Linked DNA regions of Astyanax mexicanus. The protein of the gene in region 1 interacts with the protein of each later gene in a pairwise test. Links are inferred from orthologs where the notes say so. Each region holds a gene or a part of one and is shown in the gene's direction. Other genes may lie near its edges.

Evidence for each region.
Region 2: the proteins of hmg20a (region 1) and rpp30 interact in binary tests that used the Homo sapiens proteins (3 or more experiments, as listed by UniProt). The two-hybrid records come from large-scale screens. The link is inferred for Astyanax mexicanus from reciprocal best matches to the Homo sapiens genes HMG20A and RPP30.

What each region holds. Positions count from the first base shown.
Region 1 is NC_064409.1:44,231,688-44,239,714, forward strand, and holds the start of hmg20a (high mobility group protein 20A), read left to right. Parts: upstream 1-4,504; 5' UTR 4,505-4,644; intron 4,645-5,223; 5' UTR 5,224-5,266; intron 5,267-6,719; exon of another isoform or gene 6,720-6,729; 5' UTR 6,730-6,749; coding exon 6,750-6,815; intron 6,816-7,035; coding exon 7,036-7,245; intron 7,246-7,930; coding exon 7,931-8,027. UniProt on the Homo sapiens protein: Plays a role in neuronal differentiation as chromatin-associated protein. Acts as inhibitor of HMG20B. Overcomes the repressive effects of the neuronal silencer REST and induces the activation of neuronal-specific genes.
Region 2 is NC_064422.1:25,766,605-25,774,904, forward strand, and holds the start of rpp30 (ribonuclease P protein subunit p30), read left to right. Parts: upstream 1-4,808; 5' UTR 4,809-5,082; coding exon 5,083-5,164; intron 5,165-6,564; coding exon 6,565-6,620; intron 6,621-6,717; coding exon 6,718-6,774; intron 6,775-6,861; coding exon 6,862-6,927; intron 6,928-7,024; coding exon 7,025-7,093; intron 7,094-7,319; coding exon 7,320-7,409; intron 7,410-7,714; coding exon 7,715-7,831; intron 7,832-7,925; coding exon 7,926-7,955; intron 7,956-8,086; coding exon 8,087-8,124; intron 8,125-8,300. Other genes in the region: kif20bb (kinesin-like protein KIF20B), read right to left, coding at 194-265, 366-477, 632-829, 929-989, 1,700-1,884, 1,979-2,117, 2,223-2,342, 2,461-2,550 and 1 more. UniProt on the Homo sapiens protein: Component of ribonuclease P, a ribonucleoprotein complex that generates mature tRNA molecules by cleaving their 5'-ends. Also a component of the MRP ribonuclease complex, which cleaves pre-rRNA sequences.

The sequences.
Region 1 (8,027 bases):
TCTTATAAGGTATAGTTAATATTTCATCTATCATCTATTTCTATTTATCATAATATCACACTTCATCAGTGCCTTTCTATACACACAAGCGCCTCATATAGCACCTTTCTATATACCCAATCAAGGGCGTAGGAGTGGGTTTGATATTGGGGGGGACACATCTGCTAATCTAAATCAAAGCCCACCTTACAGCGTCTCAGAACAACATTTGTGGAAATACTTTTAATCACAAATCAACCATTATTTTCTGTGCTTCTGTTTATTATTAGGTACATTCAAGTAAGGGTCACTTTACATTTACTGTTGTTAAAAAAAAGTATGCGTGCAATGTCTGAATTAAATACGTTCATAAATTAATTATGAAAAAACTGCTGAGGTATCACCTAATGTTGAAAACAATATAACAGATTTAATAATAATAATAATAATTATTATTATTATTATTATTATTATTATTATTGACATGTCAATTCTGTTATATATTTGTGTATTTACATTTACGCCACTCTTTTTTAGGGTCCTTTGGGTTTTTTTTTTTTTGGGGGGGGGGGGGGGGGGGTTTCGATTAAAAGTACTTCTTATCATGGTAATCTTTTATGTAAAAGAATGCAACCTTATGTTTCATAGAGATTTCTGGCAGAAGTTAATATAAACATTAGATAACCCAAACCCTCCTAGTCTATCATGAGCTTTTACCAAAGGACCAGATATATTCCATTAGTAAATCTAAGGGGCTAAGGGATACTCAATAAATGATGGATCAGGTGAAAACACACAATTTCAGGGCAGTGATCAGGGTTAAGAAACTGCTTTAAACTACCAACAAAAAGTATTGTACTAAATTCTGGCCATCCACTACATCCAGCTTCTAGGTATCTAGTTTGGCTAGCTAAAAGAATTTTCCTTCATTATAGCTGACAGTAATCCTGTAATCCTAGTCTACAAGTCACAGTGACTATCACAAACTGTATTTAATTAAGCTCACAGTGGGTTTGATCTCTGGGGTTTGATTTGTGTATTTTTAACCAGCTATCAGAAATAATCTTATAACAGTTTACATGGTTAGCTCCGTTACCTTTCTTTTAGAAAAATCGCAGTATATACAGACATGTTTTAACGTCAGCTCGCTTAAATTAAAAACATGCAACAAGAACATTAAAATGCCATATGGGGTGAACATTAAGTATAATAAATATAGTATGTTATATTTTATACAACAGTTAGTTCCGACCTCACAATCTGATTGGTTGAGAAGTGATCTAGCCGTGATGATATTTCATGATAACATCACGGCCTTCTCACACTAAAGTAACAGCGTATATACACAGGACACCCGCAGCAGCGTTAGCTTAGCACAGACTAGAGCTCAGCCGCGGCACGCTCGCCCGCAGCGCTGGCTCGTCTTTCGTGGAAAAAAGGGAACGAAAATCGCTCGGTTAATTCCGTCTTACAGCCAGAACGCTAACCAGCCAGGCTAGGCTAAGCTAAGTTAATGCTGAGCTAAAGCAAGCTTCGCTAACCTAACCACAGTCCAGCCAGCTAGCTAAAACCAACACCACCCAGGAAAATAAGCAGAAATGCTAAAATTCGCGGCTTTCACCTGAAGACGACTCCACGGAGCAGAAGAGGAGAGTATTAGTGTTATTTCACGCTCCTAACGTTACCATCTTCACTATTCCCAATTTTGCTTTCAAGCTAACTTTCGTGGTGTTAGTCTGCCTGAACCATACACTGTATGTAGTTAAGTTGTGGTGGAACTACTTTTTGGCGGAAGGCTCAGTCCATATTAAAGCATATTCAAACTGAATTTCTCAAAGTTCTTTGATTTATTTTCTTTATTTATTTAGTAATTTATTTAGTTGTATAAAAGCAATAGAACACTCGAGGTTGTGTGTTATCACGAATAACATTACAGCTGTGATTTGGTTTGGCTCGTGCCGTAGATCATCAAACTGAACTTTAAGAAAAAAAAATTTATTCAGTTTGAATATGCTTTATTTCGCGATAACACACTCCCTCTCGTGTTCTATTGCTTAAGTATAACAGATAGATAGATAGATAGATAGATAGATAGATAGATAGATAGATAGATAGATAGATAGATAGATAGATAGATAGATAGATAGATAGATAGATAGATAGATAGATAGATTAAAAGAATAAATTAAGTATAGAAGATAGCAGGTATCTATCTATCTATAGTACGTTTTATTATATAACAGTTAAATAATAAACAATAAAGATGTAATTGGAATTTAGTTTTAATTAACAGTCAGTATGAATGAAAAGTCAAAATTGAATCATTGCAACCACATTTTATTTACATGTCATTAGAGAATCTATTTTTTCTGGGAATTTAAACTATCCAATTTACCAATTTGTCCTTAAACCTAAGATGTCAGCACTGGAAAGCAAACTACTAATCACTAAGCCACTGTGCCACCCAATTCCTGCAATTATGTTGTTGTCATTGACGATTTAGTATAACTTAAAAAAGAAAATTTGAAAAAAAAAAACTATCTGTAAACATTTGTCTAGAATTTATTTATACTGCTTTTGAGACAGAATACCACTATTTTTGTTATTTCTAAAAAAAGAATTTTGTACAGTTTGATAGCACACCTCTAACTGACAACCTGACATGTACATGTATACTACTTCTTATTCAAAAGACCATTGCGCTACTTCATTATTATTCAGATTAGTAATTTATAGAGATGATGCATATTGTTGCTTACATATAAAAACGTTTCACTTATGTCAGCTGACATATTTATTTGACTTATCTGGGAAATTCATATTATATTAGAATTTAATGATTATTGGACTACTATAAATAATCCAAAATTCTTTACTTTTAATTTAATTGAAAACAAAAGTTTTTTTTCTCTTTTCCAGTAAAGTTGCCATTTTGAAGATACAAGCCTTTTCTGATTACATTTAAAGACAATGACAGACAGAGCGAGGGAGTTTTGATACAGGGATTTGGAAGAGGCCTGACTGATTTATTTAGAGAATCTTAAAAACAATCACTAGAGGGCAGCTTATTTGGCCTTATAGACAGGCTAAGTTTACTTCTAAACTTAACTATTTTATTTTACTACGTCCACAGGATCTGACTTATGAATGTATGTGTTATTTTTCTTTTGTGTATTTTGGTATCTGACTATAAGCACATTTGATTCTGGTTTTTACAGAACCATGATGAAAATGTCATAAAAAAAAGGATATTATATCATGGAAAAATCTTTAGCCTGGGAAATCACTTAAGCACTATTTTCAGATTAACTGAGATTATATTGTAAATATATATTAAAAGCTATATAGTTATTTGGTTGTTAATAGAATTGATTTATTTGTTAATGCAGCTCTATCCATTAGTTCCTGCTTAGTCCCAACATCACCATTTAACACCAACAAAATGCCACTACAAATGCCATTAATGTAAAATAAATTAGAATAAGTATGTAACGTTGTGTGTGAAAGTTAAAGGAGAAATTTGGTGTGAAATGGACTTGGGGTGAAGTGAAACATGATGATGAGTACAAACTTTTGTCGAATAGTCCACCTCTATTCACCGCTTTTAGCCGATAATCCCAACAGGTTTACAATGCTAGCAAAAGGGGCATAGAGTTCACTAATTTTACAACATTATCACTAATTTTACACTATTAACAAGATCAAAGTAGCTCCACACTTTATTGGTAGAATTCCAAAAGACCTGACATTTAAAATGAGGCACTGAGAGCTTTAAAAGTGCACCAGCAGTTCTTTAAAAAGACTGTTTATACACACAGTACCCTGAGGTAGTTATCCGCATGCTGCCATCTTGAAATTAAGTCATGATAATTTGACTGACAAGCACGAAAGAATAGCTGGGATAAGAGAGCAGACTGCCAAATTAATTCATTGGAAATGCCATAAGCAGCGCTACGTCCCTATCATTAGCACTGTAAGCCTGTTCAGAGCATGCGCTAAAGTGCTGTATTTTAGAATCTGGGGTTGAATGGAGGTGAGATATTCAACAAATGTTCATACTTATCATATTTCACTAAACCCCAAGTCCATTTCACACCGAATTTCTCCTTAAACGCTGCAACTTTGTCCACAGCAGCCATTAACTGTAATGAACTCACAAACAACTCACGTGAATTCCATCACAAGCATTCACCCCATTTATCCCCATTTTATATTGTTTAGTTTATGATGAAGCGCTGATCTGGGGACTACAGTATAGAAAACTACAGGCTGTATTTAACCCGCTGTCTCAGCAGGGGGCGCCAACGGTCACACTGTCAGTTCGCGAGAGAATGCACCAACACCGATCTATATCCCTCCGCCACACAAACTAGTCCCCGGGAAAAATGTCCAAATCGGTAGACTCAAAATAACACATCCCAAAAGCACCACGCGACTCTGATCCAAATACATCTAAACGCACCATTACATTGATCAAATAATCCGCCTTTAGACTTTAAATATATTTCATATTCATAAACTGTGTACATCCGCGGCCACAGCGCCACCAAGCTCGTACCCGTCGCCGTGTGATGACGCCGGACGTGTGGCTATTTGCATTGTTTTGGTTCGTGCAGTTTGTTATTTAGAAAATCTCCTGAAACACTCCGATTTTGTCAGATACAGGTCAGTGACTCTCTTACTGTCCCCGCGGGCTCGCCTGCGCTGCTCTCAGCCCGTGTTCTGGTACTGAAGCGCCGTTAGAAGCGCTGTAGTTCAGTGTAGTGTTGTGGAGCCGCTGCGGTCGGGTCGCTGCTGCGGGTCTAAACACGATGAGCTGAGTTTATCCTGCACGGCGCAGAGACTCTAATAATCAGGGTTTTAATTAGGTTCAGATTACAGTCACAGCTGTAGCTACAGGAGAACTGCGATAACTAGATGTTTCGCAGAGGCTGAATTTGACTTAATTTTCTTACTCGGATTTCTCATTCCACCTTAACTGGTGCAGCATATCCACACAGGCTGTGTCTCAAATTTATACAAATAAAGTATTATGATCGCAGAAAATCACGTATTTATGTCTTAGTCTGTTTCGCTCATTCATATCGCATCCTAGTAAGTTACCTCAGTCTGACCGCATTTATGACAGCAAGTTGTCAGTGTTTTAGTTAGCTAATAATGTTTTTAATGTAAGTGTAATGTGTTTGTAACACAGATTGCTAAATATTGTCTACAGTCTAATGAGACAAATACCTAACGTTACAGGTTCGGACACAGCCACTCGGTGTTTTGGGACGGGCAACAAAAGGTAACGTTAGCGGTAGCTAACGCTAGGTTAGCTAACAAATGTAATTAGCTAGTTAACTACCAAACATGGTTTCTTAGCTAGGATAGGTTAACTAACTTAGTTACATTCTGAAAAATTTAAAGTGGAACTGAAAATTCTTTAACCCATAAGAGGCCATACCCATTTCTGAATATTGATAAGGCACCAAATTCAAAAATAGAGAATATAAGTTAAATAACATTCCAATTTGCAAAAAAAAAAAAAAAATCAGGGAGGCGCCCCCGGACCTGGACTTGGATAGTGCCCTAACTCAGTGTTTCTCAACCAGGGTGCCGGGGTGTGTCCCAAATCACAGGCAGCACTAATCGCGCTAATTGTGACGCGCTATTTTATTTCATATTCCGCCAGCAACACCCCCCGTTCTCACCTGAAGTACTGCGCCATCATCCCCCCCCCCCCGTTCTCACCAGAAGTACTGCAACAGCACCCCCCCCGTTCTCACCTGAAGTACTGCGCCAGCCCCCCCCATACCCCCCCCCCCTCGTTGTCTGAAGTACTGCGCCAGCATCCCCCCCCCCCCTTCTCACCTGAAGTACTGCGCCAGCACCCCCCCACCCCCCCCCCCCCGTAAACTGTGGTGCCTTGACATCTCGCAAATATTTAAAGGGTGACGTGATAGAAAAAGGGTTGAGAAACACTGCCCTAACTTAACTGATTAGACTAACACTTATTTTATTGTCTGCAATGCTGCCAAGACTTGCCAGTTTCGCTGTATAAAAGGTAATAAAGATATACCCAAAAATAAACACAAATAGCAGAATTTTGTGCTTTGTTCAGACTTGGGTTAGTAGGTATAAGTAAGAGGAGTGTGCCATATCGTGTTTACCTCTTCTCATTCAGTGTGTTTAATTTCTTTTTATGATTTTGCGTTGTAAATTTAATATTGAAGTCATTAAAGCTGTACAGGAATATGTAGAAATATTTTGTAAAAAAGTATACTTTTATACTTTAGATTACCACTGAGGAAGTACCACCCAAAAATGTATTATGTATGGTATTATGTTTGCAGATTATGTGATAAGTGCAAGTACTTAATATTCTGCAATTTAGTATTGTGACAGATTGTTTTGCTACATTAAATTGTATTCATGCTACATTATTTATTTATTTATTATTTATATTCATTAGTTTATACAAATTGCTTTGTAAATTACTTTAATATTCAAAACGATCGATTTTTGTTTGTTTTGCTGAATGATTGAAACTGTTAAGCTTACATGAAATAAAACTTTCTTTTTGTATTGCAGTAAAATATTTGTTGAAATGTAATGAAATATTTTTCCATGTTTCTTTTCCATATTACTAATAATATATTTCTTGCAAAAATGCCCTGAAAAATTGTGAAAGAGATACAGAATGTGACCTTATGGTTATTGTATATCGTATGTGTGTGTCTGTGTGTGATGTTCTGTAGTTCTGTTTAGTGTGTGAAGAGTAACAAGATATGGAAGAGCAGAGTGCTTCACCTGGAGCGAACACAGATAACAGCAGCCAGAGGAATGGAGAGGAGGTAACACTGTAATTAATGATAATTAAATATTTTGAATAAAATGAAAGTACATAAAATAATCCATATCAACCAGAATCATTCTCTCTATCAGCATAGAGATGTCTTTTCTGAGTATTCTATCACTGTAGAAGATGCAGATAGAGAGGGATGAATAATGATTTGATTTAAACTTTAAGATTTTGAATTTGGTCTCAGAGACTGTCTTTCTCTGGCCCTTCAGAAACCACGCAGGGCAAGTTGGACTAAAGGAAGGAAGAGAAAGAAGCCTTTAAAGGACAGCAATGCACCCAAAGCTCCCCTAACCGGATATGTACGATTTATGAATGATCGGCGGGAGCAACTGCGTGCCGAGAGACCGGACGTACCCTTCCCAGAAATCACCAGGATGCTTGGCAATGAGTGGAGCAAACTGCCGCCTGATGAGAAACAGGTGAGGAGACTTTATAAAAAAAAAAAATTAAAATGTAGCAAATCGAAAAATATATACATACGAAGAGATTGCTAAGCTGCTGCAAGGCCCTTAACCCTCTCTGTTCTCTGGACACTACAACAAATGCTGCCCATTTCCCTGGGCACATGTGATTCAAGATTCAATTCAAGATTCAAGATTTTTATTGTCACGTCACAGAGTACAGGTGTACATGTGAGTGAAAAACTTGGGTGCAGATTCCCACCAATGCGCAAAGAATAATATTTACAAGAGAGTAATAAAATAATATAAAATATATAAAAATAGGACATACAGATAACTTACAGTATAAACACTATTTACAATACACTTAATTACAATAAACATGATAACTTACACTATAGACAAATATTGCACAGAACAGATATGCACAGATGTAGATATGGATAGTGTGGAAGTAGTCAGTATGTCACAGTATAGCTATGAGTAAGTGCAGGTAAGGAATGAGTTGAGTGGGGAGTGCAGGGGGCAGAATGCTGTATAATATGGAAAAGTCTGATAGATGCAGTGTAAAGTAAAGTGCAGGGTGCAGAGTTTGTATGGGTGTCAGTGGGGTGGGTTGTGCGTACTGTTAATGTGTGTTTGTGTTTTCTGCATGGATTAAATCTCAGGAAAAAAAGAGTTGACTCTGTTTCTCTCCATGCAGCGCTATTTAGATGAGGCAGAGAAAGACAAGGAGCGCTACATGAGGGAGCTGGAGAAGTATCAGCAGACAGAGGCATACAAGCACTTCACCAGGAAAG
Region 2 (8,300 bases), on another chromosome or scaffold:
TGGAGTGAAAAGTACGAAAGTACCAAATTTAAGTAAAATGTCACAATGAACAGAAATACTTTAGTAAAGATACTTTAAAACTTATTTAAATATTGTGAGAAAATCAATTTGTTAATTCAGAATCAAACTGTGAGCAGAATGACTTGCTACACCACCTCTATCCACTACATTAGAAAAATAAATGTAGACTTACTCGCTTATTGTTTGGACTCGAGGAACGCACATATCTTCGATTCGCAGAATTCGGATGGAGAAAATACTATGACTAAAACAAGATAGACAATTTGAGTTACATTTTACATCACTTTATAAATCATTTCTGCTTGTTAAACTTCATAATAAACAAACAATAGTACAAACACTACCTTCTGCTGGAAACACTGTTGAGCTTTGTAGAAGAAAAGCTCTGATTTTTCCTCCCAATCTTCAAAACTCTGTAGGCTTCATCTGCACTGTTAACCTGAATCCATGTCAGATCTGTGGAAAAGTCAAAGAAGCAGTTCCAGTAAAAGTAAAAAAAAAAAGTATAGAGTATAAATCAAGTGTTTTAAAGTAAACACCTTAAAAAATGAATCTTTCACAATGTAAGCAGCAAAGAAGCACCAGACTAATCATCAATCTATCCACTTACCTTTGACAAACGTGTTGCCTTTGACATCTTGGCAAAGCCGAAGTACGCTCCTTCTCTGAGAACTACTCGAGGCAAAGTCAAGCAGATCATGTATGTTTTCATTGTAAATCTCACAGAAGGAGACCCAAACTGAGAACTTCACATGAGAGTCTTCCTCCAAACAAAGACTGTCTTCATTTAGATCACTGCAGCTGGAACCTACAAGTGAAGGAATAACCGAAATCACTGTCTATTGCCTTATCTAAACAAAAACTATAAATACATAATAACAACAACATAAATTTAAATGATTCTTACCCTCAAGCAGTGTGCTACAAGCAGAATTTGACATACTAGAGCTGCTTTTCTGCAGATCATTCTACAAAAAAGGAAGACAAAGGGCACATGTAAAATAAATAAATAAATAAATAAATAAAAAATGCATGAAAATGTACAAAAATTTATAATTAATTATTTCTATCAAGATATAAAATACCACACATCAAGAGGCAGCACTTTAAATGACAGTAATTTAAGTAAATATAAATACTATAATACTATAAATTACTATTGACTATATAACAATTATGCCCTCATCATTACACAATTATAAACATTCAAAACTAAGTTTGTTTGTTTTTTGTCTTCGTCACAGAACCTAAATAATCATATCAAATCAAGATGATGTTTTAAATTATGAAGAACTAAAGAGTTTTCTAATCAAATTAAAGCGTCAGCAGTTCAGAACCCTTATTAGTAGGGGTTAAGGAAAATATTGATAAACCAAATGTGTTGTGAAATTACATTTTGCAATACTGTACTGATTCTCAAAAACAAATTATTAAGAGTATATATTTATATTTTAAACCCTGAGTGCTAGATAGAAGTGTTGTACTCTTCAGATCCCACTGTTCTTGTAAACGTTTTTGCTCAGATTTTATAGTCGTGTGTTTTTAAACAATGACAGTGTTCCTAAAATTTGACTTTTTGAGATCACAATACAAAGTCTTGCTTACAGAATCACAATATATTAACTAATAACCGCTATATTGTGATATGAAAGAAAAACAAAATAATAATAAGTTATACCTCTTTATATCTTCTCAGAAGGTTTTTCTTAATTGTAGCCTCTGCATCCTGCTGATCCTTAGTCAGTCGAGTGAAGTCTATGCAGCGGTGGGGCTTGATGTTATTCTGAGTGTAGATTCTTCCCTCAATACTATTAAAGATCACTTTCAGTGACCTTGGCAGAATTCCCACATCGGTTTCAGGTCCTTAGAAAAAGATGCGGAAAATGGATTACATATATTATATAAGTTAACATTCCAATTAAAACAAAAATGAGACCTAAAAGAAAAAAAAACTCACCTAAAAATGTGAAAGTTTTCCCTGCATTAGTAACCCCATAGGTGAAAATCAGGGAATTTTGTCCTGCCAGAACATCTTTCACAAGAGCTTTTGTTGTTCCATCAAATATCTGCCTTTGTGTAGTTTCTGGACTATACACCTGCACAATATCATCAGTTTTAACAAAACATGATTAACACAGGGTTAAAGGTTTTTCACTGTGCCAGATTTTACAGGGTAGATGAACACTATTTAGACTGTGTACCTTTGAGAACTGAAATCTCTGTGCAATTTGAGGTCCTAGTTTCTCACTTTGCCTGGCTGTTAGAGATGATCTTGGAGCCTTTAAAACCACAGTGTCTGGAGACTCGATTGAAATGCAGTCCTAGTCAGGAAAATCACAGTTAAAAAAATATAATTACAGTTCTACCATCTGCTTACACTATTACAGTTATGCTTTGCATCTAAAATTTAACACCAGCTTATTATAAATATTTCGATACCTGTGATTCACCGAAATCACTCTCTGTGGAGGTAAAAGGGCGTATCCTGAGGTAGACCTGCAAATGCTCCCTCTCCAATAACACAGAGTCCTATAAAGCAAAGCATGGTTCGTTGTATAAAAAAAATGCAGATTTTGTTCTTAATTGTTATATACAAAGAAAAATGTAAAAGAAAATCTCAAAAATAATTTGTGAAATGTAACCAACAACAATAAAAAGGTAGTCATTTATTAAAATGGCTAAAACAGAATCAGGTGCACCGAAACAAAATGTGGGGCAAGATAATTTAATTGTTTTCTGTATATAATGAAAATCTACTTTATTTTGGCTCAATCTGATGGAAGATTCTGTACTTGACATTGAGCTAGACAATATAATAAATCTTTTATTGTGTTGCAATAAATATTTTTATTGTATCGACAATAAGCATATTGAGGATATCATCATTACTTAAAGAACAGCGACCAAACTGTACAGTTCATTACAGAGAGTGTAAATTGTATTGACCATGTGCAACCAAATATCCAGATGCAAGATGAGCAGCAAAAATTAAATAAGAATCAATGTACAGTGCATGAAAGAATATTTGACTAGGAGAATCTGATGCATTTTGTCTGCTTGAGTACTGGGTATTGTGAAAATGTCTTTAAACATTGTGATATAATATTGGTACCATATCACCCAGCTCTGTTGGTTTGTAATTACATACACCAATGGTTGTGGCTTTTATACGGTTAATATCAATATCAGAATTGTTATAGATGAAATATATTGTGATATTAGGGCTGGGCAATATGACCCTAAAATATCACCACCATATGTTAAGGTGTTTTTGAGATAGCAAACTTCTTGACAATAGGACAATTTATTCATTTAAAAATAAACTGCAGCAGAACTCATTTAAAATAAATTTTAAAATAAATCAAAAATAAATACATTATTTTATTTTCTACATTCAGTAGAGAGAAAAACATCTATAACCATTTGTCAATTTTGCAAACAGTAGCTTATCAATACTGATTTTGCATAAAACAAAATGTGACAAAAATAATAAACAATGTAGAAATAATAAAGCAATGTGGCCACAAAAGTGCAGCATATTTAGTGCATACATATAAACTGCAAACAAACAATCAAAACAAAAATAAATATGGTAAATATATAGCAAATCAAGCACCAATTAGACAGCTGTCAACAATACTGTATATATTATGATATGGAGTTTTTTCATTGTGTCTAAAATGTTGGAGATATTATTGCATATAATATGATACATCATAGCACACTCCTGCGTGATACAGATTTTTGCCAATTCATCCAGCCCTATTTTGACACCAACTGTCAAGGTTGAATTTCCTGGGACAGCTGGACCTGACTGATTTTATAGATAAAATTAAGATTAAATATCCATAAATATAAAGATCCATTAATATACTCTATAAGTCTTGACATGGATTGGTGGTAACACTTGGTGGTAACACTTGTATACAATGTAGTAAACTATACCAGGTCTAGTATTAGCTGTTACAGACAGAGACGATAAAAGATGAAGGTTAAGCAGGGAAACAATACCTGGGTTGTGGGTATTTTGGAGAATTCGACAAACAGATCTTTTCTCAGATCTTCCACAGTGACAGCTCCCACTCTCTCCGGTTTATAATTCAAGCTGGACTCCATGACTCTAAAAGAGACAAAGAGAAACAGACCTCAGTGAGGAACATCAACACGCTGCTGATCAGCATGTAACTAATGAATAGAGCAGTGTGAGTATACCAACGCTAAGTTACCTACCTTAAATAACGCTAAGACTTCCCTGATTAATCGTTGCTACCGCTGATAGACTGTATCCATAGTAAAAGAAGCGGAGTGTGATGATAAATTAGTTATTCATCTTATTATTTAACTAGCAAACCAAGCTAGCTTAAAACACAGTTGAAAGGACGTAACCTAGCGTAGCCAGCCTAGCTAACGTTAACCTGCGTCTATCCTACACGCTTCAAAAGCAGCTCAAATAAGCTAAAACGAACTAAAACGCATATTGGCTGTGTAACTACAGATAAACTAACACGCAACTATCCCTAGCAAGACTATTTAGCTAGTTTTAAACCGGTTTAAATCTAACCCTGTTCATAATATGTACCGAGCGCCTAGTTTAGTACTGTTGTGTTCACGGCTGCCGCGGTCCTCCGTTCAAATCGCACCAATCAAATTGCTTCCAGCGAGCCGCAGTGGCCGTTGGGACCGGAAGTCACGAAGATGTAGTTTTAAGCAGTTCGACTTGTGGTAAGATTTAATGGACTGATGTACACATATGAACTACAATTCCCAAGAGCAGCCATCAAAATCGCAAACCCACATGTTTAAACAGTGTCCATGCTTCAACAAGCTGTACCGCTCGCTAGCATTGTAAGTTAACTAGCTAGCTTAATAAGTTAGCAACGCTGCATGGCTACAAAATAATTACAATTACAATATTGCTAGAGAAAGCCTGTTCTCTGTCAGATATTACTCTCAGCATTATAAACCCATGTGTATATTTGTTTTTGGCTGTGTTGTAAGTAGCTACATTGGTTAGCTAGCTATCCTAGGTTAGATATCTAATTTGTATTTAAAAAAAGGAATATGTCTGTGTTTATGGATTTAAACATCACCGCTGGCACTGACAAGGCAAAGTTCCAGAGCACTATTGAGACCGCCGCTCACCGTAAGTTTCACTTTTAGACAGTTCACTAGTGTTACATAACGTATCTGGAACCACTGGGATTTTCAGTAGCGTTAGCGTGTTTTCTGACACATGAGCTCAACTTGGCTGGCAATGAAGCGCTAACTTGAGTTGAAGGAGGCGTGTTTGTTTGTAGGAAAATCCCTACACTCTGTAGGAATTCGACCTCCACCACTTGAGTCCCATTATACTGAGATAAAAATGATAATAAGTAAAACATTGTTTGTCTGTGTATTTCTATACAGATACAAACTATAACCAGGTGCTAAATATATAATATAGATGTAGTTTAATTATGCAGACGCTATAAAATCTGTGTAAAGTTCCTTAAAGCACTCTCCATTATTTGAACATGTACTGAACATCATCCTGAAAACATCACTAGAGGACAGTGTGTGAATCTGTGTTTGTTTACCTTTATATACAGCTCTTATATAAAAATAAATAAAATAAATATAAAAATAAAGAGACCACTTCAGTTTCTGAATCAGATTTTGCCATTTATAGTTATGTTTGAGTAAAATGAACAATGTTGTTTTATTCTATAAACTACAGACATTTCTCCCAAATTCAAATATAAATATTGGCATTTATTTGCAGAAAGTGAGAAATGGCTGAAATAACAAAAATATGCAAAATAGTTTTCAGACCTCAGATAATGCAAAGAAAACAAGTTCATATTCATAAAGTTTTAAGAGCTCAGAAATCAATATTTGGTGGAATAACCCTGGTTTTTAATCACAGTTTTCATGCATCTTGGCATGTTCTCCTCCACCAGTCTTACATGCTGCTTTTGGTTTTGGATTGCTTGTGATCATTTGTTTTCCTCTTGAATGTGTTCCATATGTTTTCAATTTGGTAAATTTAAAGAAACTCGTCATTTTAAATGGTCTTTTAATTTTTCCCAGAGCTGTATATATATTAAAGTAGCTTAACTTTATTGTCATTATAATGTACAAGTACAAAGCAATGGAATAATTTAGGTTTAGAATCTAACAAGAAGTGCAATAGCAGCAAAATATGCTTAATATAAATAGGTATGGATGAATATGAATATGGTAGTATAAATATGTTTTACAGAATATTTACAATGATTAAGAGATTGAAAAGACAATGGATTATGGTGTACAGATTTACAGTGTATATTACAATAGGAGGGTATAAACTGTTTTTTTTTTTTATAGATACAGCGATGGTAAACGAAATATTGATATATATATATATCGATATTTTCTTACACGATACACTACTATCCATGTATCATCCACTGTTATTTACAGATAAGGTAATTTATAGTAATAGTTATTATCCACAGATGAGGTAGTAGTTTATTGTGAGGTAGTTATCAGTAACACTGAACTGCAGGTTTCTTTCTCTTTCAGTTGGCTACTCCACAGTTGCAATAAATTATGTAGTGGAGGGGCAAAAGAAGAAACAGGTATTTTACCTCACCAAACGTCTTCAGAATGCTATTAACCCGATTCATTATTTCTCAGCTAACTTCGTTCTCATGTTTGTGTTGATGTTGAATGCAGCTAATTCCGACTCCGCAACCCTTAGCAGAGCTCTTTGAGACGTTTCCAACAGTACAGGTAACTTTACAAAATCTCACTATACACAATCTATGTGGGAGTCTTTTTTTCTAGTTTTCTAATTTCTGCACTCTCGTTCACATGTAGGGAAAATCCAGACCTATTAAAGTGCTGAACCGATTGACAGTTGTGGCCACAGATGCCTCTCACTTTGTAAGTGCAATTGAAATACTAAGTAATCATGTTGTTATGAACTGCAGTCACAGAAATCTGATTTTTAAACTGATTATATTTGTGATATTTACTGTAGAGGCCTACTAATGAATACAAGAATTTTGACCTTTTGGCCGTTCATCCCAAAACAGACAAACTCTTCCATGTAAGTTCAACTTTTTCTGTAAATATGTAAATTTATATTGTTGTCCCCTCTAAATATTTCTTCTCTTTGTTTAGTTCTGTAATATCCTGCAACTTTACTTTGTCTTCCAAAATGACAAACATGATGTTGTTTTTTTCTAAAACTCTGCTGAAACTGTACATGCATAATGATGTGGATTATATATAAAAAGTTTTATTTATGTGTGTATTGTGTGTTATTGCAACAGGCAGCCTGCATGAACTATGATGTGGATATTATCTGCATATCAGCCACTGAACCACAGTCCTTCCATTTCAAGAGGTCACCGGTAAACGGGGTGAGTAGAAATGTAAAATATTACTTTATTAATATATAGCTTTGGTTACACTATATGCTTACTACATTGTAGTGTGTGTGTGTGATCTGATTCTCTCTAGATAACCTCAATAAAAAAACTAAAAAGTATTTGAGACTAAGTTATAGAAAATGTTATTCTAAAATTAATTTAATATTAATATAATATAATATTATATAATACTATTTTTTTTATTGCCATAATTATATGAAATTAACTTAAAATAAAATATCATATTACAAATGTAAGAATTGTGAATTTGTGCTCTTCTCTGTTGATTCTCTAAGGCTATTGAAAGGGGAGTGTTCTTCGAGATAAGCTACTCAGCAGGCATTAGAGACCCCACCATGAAGAAGTACACCATCACAAATGCCGTCAATCTAATATCTGTGTGCAAGGGAAAGGTAATGTAATATACCATATTTACTGTCACTGATAAAAAAATGTAAACTAACCTGATATGTTTAAAAATAAATAAATCCCTATTTATTTTCTCAGAATGTCATTGTGGCCAGTGGGGCAGAAGCGGTAAGAGCACTGATTTCGGGGAAATATATATATTTTAAAAGCTTTTAATATACAGCCACATACTTCTCTTTTTTTGATGGTCAGTGCAGATGTTTTGTTAAGCTGTATTTTATTTCTGTTTTCTCATTTAGCCTCTTAACTTGCGTGGTCCATATGACATTGCCAATCTGTATCCTTTACTGTTTGGAACCATACTATAAGGGTTATGCTGTGTTTTATTGTGATAAATTATATATTTTTGTATTTAAAACCCTTTCGTGGAACTGAAATGATAATATTATAGCATAATAATGCAGTTACACACGTTTAAAGCACAGTTAATGTTTAATTAAAAATAGTTTGAGG